Neurospora crassa OR74A: one gene and its partner. The protein of the gene in region 1 interacts with the protein of each later gene in a biochemical or structural test. Links are inferred from orthologs where the notes say so. Each region holds a gene or a part of one and is shown on either strand. Other genes may lie near its edges.

The links.
Region 2: the proteins of rpa-1 (region 1) and rpa-2 form a complex in vitro, tested with the Saccharomyces cerevisiae proteins (2 studies listed by BioGRID). The link is inferred for Neurospora crassa OR74A from reciprocal best matches to the Saccharomyces cerevisiae genes RFA1 and RFA2.

Annotation. Positions count from the first base shown.
Region 1 is NC_026505.1:1,822,163-1,826,566, forward strand, and holds rpa-1 (replication factor-A protein 1), read left to right. Parts: upstream 1-1,366; 5' UTR 1,367-1,603; coding exon 1,604-1,635; intron 1,636-1,696; coding exon 1,697-1,957; intron 1,958-2,018; coding exon 2,019-3,458; intron 3,459-3,519; coding exon 3,520-3,619; 3' UTR 3,620-4,046; downstream 4,047-4,404. Other genes in the region: NCU03605 (amidohydrolase), read right to left, coding at 1-776. UniProt on the Saccharomyces cerevisiae protein: As part of the replication protein A (RPA/RP-A), a single-stranded DNA-binding heterotrimeric complex, may play an essential role in DNA replication, recombination and repair.
Region 2 is NC_026504.1:2,100,342-2,104,133, reverse strand, and holds rpa-2 (replication protein A-2), read left to right. Parts: upstream 1-1,548; 5' UTR 1,549-1,676; coding exon 1,677-1,680; intron 1,681-1,764; coding exon 1,765-1,850; intron 1,851-1,947; coding exon 1,948-2,712; 3' UTR 2,713-3,058; downstream 3,059-3,792. Other genes in the region: NCU07715 (hypothetical protein), read left to right, coding at 1-105; NCU07716 (hypothetical protein), read right to left, coding at 354-440, 504-565, 661-840, 929-1,196; NCU07718 (hypothetical protein), read right to left, coding at 3,348-3,740. UniProt on the Saccharomyces cerevisiae protein: Binds to single-stranded sequences participating in DNA replication in addition to those mediating transcriptional repression (URS1) and activation (CAR1). Stimulates the activity of a cognate strand exchange protein (SEP1).

The DNA of each region.
Region 1 (4,404 bases):
TTCAGGCCCTCGATAAAATCGTCACTTAGGGCTGTTCCGTTGGGCTTATCTTGCAGCAAGTAGCGGAAACCCTTCACCTTGGCCCATGTTTCAGGCCCGGCTTCCTTTTCCGCAGCTGCGAGATACTTTTCCAACTCGGCAGAGCCCAATACAACCGGCGCCCACGGCACAATTCCGAGACAATCACGGCCATCGTCAGCCGTGTGGCCCTCGCCAGGCTTCGGTTGGCCGGTTACGATGCGGCGAAGCCATGCGATCTCTTGTAGGGGGTAAGTCCAATCCTTAGCATTGTCGTTCTTGCGGTCGACCTCAATTGCGACGTAGCCCTGAAGATTGCCAGGCGCACCGGTGGCGGTCTGGTATTCCTGGATGGAGTGCTGCTTGGCGAGAGGATTGTCTTCAGCGTACCACTGGTGGGATTCTACCTCGGACTGGGGATAGAGGTGCACATGGGTGTCGATGATGGGAACGGAAACGGCGGGAGATGATGCCATTTTGATCAGGCCGTTATCGAGCTCGAGTTTGGTAAAGCGACGGATATGTTTGGCAAGAAAGTAAGGTATCCAGTGATAGAGAAAGAGAAGGAGACAAGCGAAGCAAGCAAAGTCAGAGATGACAGGAAGTAGGAAGGTCAGGACGTCGAAGCGGTGTACCGTCCTGCAGGCAGACCAACGCTGAACACACAAAAGTAGAGGTATGGATGGGATGTAACTGAGGCAACGGGGGAACTTCCAATCGAGCCTTCTCCTTCTTATATTTTGTATTCGTTTTAGCATAGGCAGGCACGCGCTACAGTACGAGGAGAGTACCTCGATGGTCAGGAGGGGGTGGGAGATGGGATCGACACAGACAGCCAGGAACCACGACGAGGTGGGGTACGTTCGGCATGCAAAGGGCAGGCCCAAGACGGGACAATTCACACCGAAAGATTCAAAGATAGGGTTCCTGATCAAGAATGGTTACCTCCCGTCTTCGGTTTCCATTTCCTTGAGGAACCCAAGGTCCTTTTCCCTTTCGTCTTCCTACAGCACCGGAAGAAAGATACCCTTGTTATGTACAGTCATCACATGATTGTGCGAATATATTAGCAAAAAGGGTTCTATCTGCAAGACCTGACAGAGAAATCATGACATGTTCCAAAAGCTTAAGAAGTGAACGAGGCCAAGAGGGAAGTTGAGCCCCTGGAACTTGCTGAAGTTGAGCTCTCGGGTGGGGTTTGATGTGGAGATATGGGGTTGGCGGGCAACTGCCATGCTTGTCAGAAGCGCTTGGCAGCAACACTCCCCGGCAAACGCAAACTACACGCGCTATACAAACTGGGGCCCTCCGCACGGACCGTGGATGCCTAGCAATTAAACTCTTGCCCCTCCTCGACGCGCTGCCAAACGCGTCGCTGCTGCAGTCCATTGTTTGTGTGAAATTTCCCCTCCAGACCACCATCATCATCAGTCCAACACACTCGATCCATCCGTATCTTGTCGGATCTTTCTTGACTTCTGCGCCCCAATCCTTGCATCTTCGAACACGACTCACGCATAAATCAACCTCAAAAACAACATCGAGAACGTCTCCACGGGCTTGACGCCAACACTACCCAACCAACATGGCGGGTCAAATCACACAGGGCGCTCTGGAGTAGGTTTCTTCACGTGTGCTTCCATCCAGTAGTATGACAGACTCTGACTTCTTGCTATAGCGCCATGTTCAATGATCCCGATCGCGCACAACAACAGTTCCCTGTCCCCATCCTTCAATGTCTCCAGATCAAGACCCTCGACTCCAAGAATGGGGGCGCGGGCGCCACGGAGAGGTTCCGCATTGTGCTGAGCGACCTCAAGAACTATGTCCAATGTATGATGGCCACGCAAACAAACCATCTTGTTCACGATGGCCTCCTGCAACGCGGCTGCATCGTGCGCTTGAAGCAGTATCAAGCTCAATGTCTCAAGGGCAAAAAGTACGCCTATCTACCCCTCCGCCAATTCGGGAAATCCATAACACTGACTGTTTAAATCCAGCATCTTGATTGTCCTCGATCTCGAAGTTATCCAGTCCCTTGGCTGTCCCGAAAAGATGGGCGATCCACAGCCTCTTGGCCCCCGCAGTGCAGAACCACAGCAGAACCCCAATCTCGGCAGCACCGGCTTCTATGGCGTCAAGAGCGAACCTACCCAAGACACGAAACCACAGTTTCCACGCCAGATGCCCTCGCGTAATGCCAGCGGGGGTCAGGGATCAAGCACGATATATCCTATTGAAGGTCTCTCGCCCTTCTCGCACAAATGGACCATCAAGGCCAGAGTCACCTCCAAGTCCGATATCAAGACCTGGCACAAGGCTAGCGGCGAGGGCAAGCTCTTCAGCGTCAACTTTCTTGACGAGAGTGGCGAAATTAGAGCAACAGGATTCAACGACCAAGTCGACCAGTTCTATGATTTGCTACAGGAGGGTCAGGTTTACTACATTTCTACACCTTGCAGGGTACAGCTTGCCAAGAAGCAATGGTCGAATCTCCCCAATGACTACGAGCTCACCTTTGAGCGGGATACCGTGATCGAAAAGGCCGAAGACCAGACATCTGTACCACAGGTACGCTTCAACTTTGTCAACATCCAGGAGCTTCAGGATGTTGAGAGGGATGCGACTGTCGATATTATTGGTGTCCTCAAGGAGGTCCAAGAGGTGACCCAGATTGTATCCAAGACCACACAGAAGCCGTACGACAAGCGCGAGCTGACCCTTGTTGACAACACTGGGTACTCGGTACGTTGTACCATCTGGGGTAAGACGGCCACGAACTTTGATGCTCAGCCTGAATCCATTGTGGCCTTCAAGGGCACAAAGGTCAGCGATTTCGGTGGACGCAGCTTGTCCCTGCTTTCGTCTGGCACCATGGCCATCGATCCGGATATTCCAGAGGCCCATCATCTCAAGGGCTGGTATGATAGCAGCGGCAGGAACAACACCTTCGCCACCCACAACAACATGCAGACCTTGGGTGGTGCGACCGGTCGCAAGGACGACGCCAAGACCATCTCACAAGTAAAGGAAGAGAACCTTGGCACAAACGAGGCGCCGGATTACTTCGCTCTCAAGGCAACGGTTGTATTCATCAAGCAGGATAACTTTGCCTACCCTGGGTGCCGAAGCGAAGGCTGTAACAGGAAGGTCACAGATATGGGTGATGGTACCTGGCGCTGCGAGAAGTGCCAGATCAACCACGATAGACCTCAGTACCGTTACATTATGAGCGTCAACGTCAACGACCACACAGGTCAACTTTGGCTTAGCTGCTTCGACGATACGGCGCGGGTCATCATGGGCAAGTCGGCCGATGAACTTATGGAGATTCGAGAGACCGACGAGACGCGGTTGCCCGCCGAGTTTGAGCAGGCCAACTGCCGCAAGCTGAACTTTAGGTGCAGGGCGAAGATGGACACATTTGGTGAACAGCAGAGGTACGTATCGGGGGTTATTCTCACGATTAGATGGACGTTGCTGACACATTGCTTGTTGCAGGATTCGATACCAGGTCATGAGCGTGGCGCCCCTTGACTACAAGATGGAAGGAAACAAGCTTAACGAGCTCATCAATTCTTACAACCAAATGAGCATGTAAAGGGGAGGGTGGGGTTTGTTCACTTATGCGAGGAACTAGATGATGTATATGGTTAATGAACACGTGTTTGTATTTTCGGGCATGTGGTCTCAAGGATGAACGATATGGGCATCACTGGCCTATCGACTGAAAGATGATTTGCAGTTTCATGATGGACTGGGATGGTTAAGAGCTGTGATGGGCCGAACCCTAACAGAACTTTGTTGGCGTGGCAGCAAATTTCGGCATGATTGCAGACTTGAATAGGTCTCTCAAGCGTTATCTTGGAGTTGAGACACTAGGAGACCTTCCTGTTCGAGTTATCTTCGATAACATGCCGAGGTAAGTACACACGCTTCGTTGACTAGAAGAAAGCTCCAGAGCTGGTCAAGGTCGGATCAGGGCGGTCCTTGCAATGTAATACGCACCTTTCGGGCTCAATATCCACATGGCAATCCGATCATCTCATCCGTTATCGGCCTTCTTCACCCTCTCGTATTCTCAAACTCTTCTATGCTTCAGCTTTTTCACGCAAAGAACCCGTGGCACAGCCTTTCCTGGTCATCTTTCTTCACTTTCCAACTTCCGTTATGTGAATAGGCACCCCGGCTCCGGTCTCTATGCGGACTGTTTAGCTGCTCGATACCGTATCGGCACTTATCGATTACGCAGATGGATGACAGGAACCTAAACGCCGTATCTTCCTTATCGGCCGTCGTCGGGATCCCCTGCCGTGACTCCACATATCCGCCGTCCAGACCCGCCCCCGCTCCGTTCCCTCGGGCCCCCCACTTTCGATGTAGCGG
Region 2 (3,792 bases), on another chromosome or scaffold:
AAGAGTCAGTTGGGTGAGAACGGTGAGGGGGAGGAGGATGAAGAGAATATCTTGGCTAAAGGGGTTCGGAAGGGAGGGGTGGATAATTTGTTTTGCACCCGGTGACGAGGTTAGAGGGGCAATGGGGGGGGGGGGGTGGTTATGGCGATGTAAGATTATGGCGTCTATGGATATTGTGGGTTGATGCTGACATCATCTTCACTATGGCATGTCGATGGTCCCAGGCACTGACTTATTCGCTGTTCTAGTACAAGTGCGATGCATATCGTCGACAATCTTTTGCCTCTACTGACATCTAACATTTGTCGCAACATGTCGAAACCAAGTTCCGTGGATGATATCGTCCTCAGTCACTACTCATCAGCCTGCTCTCCATACTTGTTAACAACTAGAAGCGTAATACATGCCCCGAATATGGAAAGGGCAATAATCCCCATAATCTATGCATTGCATACAATTGGTTAGTCATGACAAGTGGGAAGATGAAGAGTCAGTATGCTTACAATTTGTGTTCTCCAACCTGTCTGTACAATTGCTGCCCTACGGCTATACTTGTTCACGGTTTCTGGTGCATAACAGCCCGCTCATGTCAGCGTTGGGTTTTGAGGATTCTTTAAAGCGGGTGTTGAGATAGGATACTCCAAATCAACCATGACGTACGGATATAATTGGCCACTCCTACACCAAGGCAAGAGACAGAAAGCCCCCAGAAAATGATCCCCAACGGCTTCGCCATCCGCAACTCCAAGTCGCTAGCTGCCTTGCGAAGGTGGAACGAGAGCACTATGGCGACGGAAACGATAGCCATGTAGATGGACAAGCGAAGGAACGATAGGAACGCTGTTTAGCAATAGCATCAGTCAACAAGTTTCAGTGTTCTAGGTGTCGTTCTATGTAACGGAACCAGATCCAAAAGACATGGACGTACTTCTCTCGTTCGCGCAATGATCTCTACAGTCGCTACTCTCATTTTCGAACAATATAGGACCGAAAAGCGGCCAGAGACAGAAGGTGTTTTCGTTTTCATCGAGGAGACTGGTGTCGTGCCTATCGGAAAGATCGATGGGCTCAAGCAGTGATGAAGGATTCACACAGCATGAGCATCTTGTGACCCCTCTGTCATTGGTGTAAGTCCCGTTTTCTTCCTCGTCTTCGGTGACGAGGGTGGCGCTTTGGGATGTTGCTGTTCGAGACATTGGGTTTAACCAGAAGGAAGGTTGACTATATGGTATTCATCTCACTAGAACAAGTCTCCACACCACTCAGTACTTTTCTAATGGCGTGGCAGCTTCATGTCACTGTGTATACATAGTAGTAGTCCCTAAAACCCAGCTGAACCTTAAGCAAGGGATGTTGGTTTGCAGCTGAGAGGCGGGTACTGTACTATGTATACGTCATTCACAGATGTTGAACCCTAACCCTCCTTTATTGTGCTGCCTGCTCCCGTCTCTTACGCAGAACACCTGGCAGTGGGACAGTGGGGTCCGCCTTTAGTGCTTGCTGCCTCTAGGCGCGTCTAAACGCGTCTCCCAGCATCAATCTTTCACCCCGCAATCCACCATTTGACACCAGCTCGTCCATCACACTCATTGCCTACGACTGGATCTTTTGCGAGAAGACGGAAAGTTAATCGAATCTATTCATTAGATAGCCAAGGAGACAGTAACACTAGACTCATGGGTAAGTAATTCTTTACCGAGTTCCTTAGTTCTTCTCCTAGGCTCCGCAAATGTCTAGTCAGCTAACTGTGTGTGACCTTGACAGCGGGCTACGGCGGATATGGTGGTGGCGATGGCGGTGGCTTCATGTCCGGATCCCAACAAGGTGGTAGTCAAGCCGGTGGCTCCAAGGTAAGTCCTCTGTTATCCCAGTTTACCTTTACCCCTTCCTTCCTTCGCCTCAGCACCCAAATCAGGTACTGACAACCTGTCTCTCGTCCAACAACAGTACGCCGACGAGTCCCTCCGCCCCGTAACCATAAAACAGCTTCTCGATTGGGAAGAGACCTTCCCCGGCGCCGAGCTTGCCATCGACGGCCACCCAGTAACCCAAGTGACCATTGTGGGCCAAGTGCGCTCGGTCAAGCCGCAACCGACTAACATCACGTACCGGATTGATGACGGCACGGGAGCCATCGACGTCAAGAAGTGGGTCGATTCGGAAGCGCAAGGCGGCGAGGACGGTGGCAGCGGTGCCGGCACGATCGCGCCCGACGCCTTCGTGCGCGTGTGGGGCCGTCTCAAGTCTCTCGGCGGCAAGAAACACGTAAGCGCCAACTTCATACGCCAGATTGAGGATTTCAACGAGGTCAACTACCACCTGCTTGAGGCGACGTATGTGCATCTGTTCTTTACCAAGGGAGCTCCTGGTAGTGGTGGTGGTGCCAAACAAGAAGGTGGCGGAGGGGACAACATGTTTGTGGATCAGGGATACGGAGCAGGAGGCGGCGATGTTGCTATGGGCGGCGCTGGCCCCGGTGGAGGAAACAGTGCGATGCAGGCGAGATTGGCGACGTGCTCAAGGAACGCGCAGATCATGTGCAATTTCATCAATAACTCGCCTGGCGGGACGGAGGGTGTCAATTTGCATGTGATTGCGCAGGGCACAAGAATGTCGGTTAGAGATATCACAAATGCGGCGGATGAGTTGCTGGGGCAGGGTATTATTTACACTACGCAGGATGATGAGACGTGGGCCATTCTGGATTATTAGTTCAGAGAGCTCGGCTTTAGGTGAGTTTAACGTGTGTGGTTGGGAATGGGGGAGGCAGAGCAAGCGGTACTGGCAAGCCATGCTTGAAATACCACCGGAGGAGGAAGGGATGAGAAAGGCTCAGGAAAAAGTGTTGAAGAGGATCATGTTTTTTCTTTTCTTTTTTTTCTTTTTTTCGGTCCACCTATCTGGACGAGGAAACGAACGGCGCCTCAAGGCTTAACGTTTCACAAGAATGGACCGGAATGGATGGTTTCTTTTTTTTAGTTTTCATGTTTGGTTTTGCGATTCTGCGTCTGTTAAGATGAAGAGAATATACCCGAGTCAATTTTGAGGTAGAGAAGGGCGTCTGATGACTTGTTGCATCGTAGAGCTAACATTCTAGTAGGCCGGACGGCTGAGCTATGAAACGAGTGTGTATCATGAAGGCGTGCAATTGACAGCTATTACATCTCGAGTATAAAATGAAACCGGATATCAACATATCCCACCCTTGCAACCGGTAAACACAAGTCAGAGACCCAATAGTGAGACTCATGGTCCGAGGTCAAACGTGAATAAAAACACGAGTGTCCAATCTAAGTCGTGTCTGCGTCATCCTCCATAAAAACACTACTACGTATATCACCACCAACTTACATCAACTTCTTACCGCCAACTCCAAGACCAACATGGTAATGCCCATGTGCAAGAAGGCCATGATGATGGTGGGAGCCGACAGTAGGAAACTTGGCCCTAGTAGATCCCAAAAGAGTATTGCTAGTGGTCGTCGTCGTCGTCGTCAAAGGAGCAGCAGCAGCAGCGAAGAGCGTGCCAACGTTAGAGCCTTCAGCAACAGGATCCTTGCGGGTGCTACTGGGAGTCATGCCAGAGGCATTGGGCTCGCGGACCATAATGGACAAACGGACGGGGTCCCGTCCACGCTTCAGGAAGATGTCCCTCTTGGTCTCGAAGCCGAACTTCTGGTAGTAGGAGTTGTTGGCGAGTGAGCTGGATTCGAGATACATGGGTCTGTTTTCGGCGTCGGCCTAAAAGCATAAGCGGTTATGTCAGCTTTTTGCTTTGGTTTTTTTTTTTTTT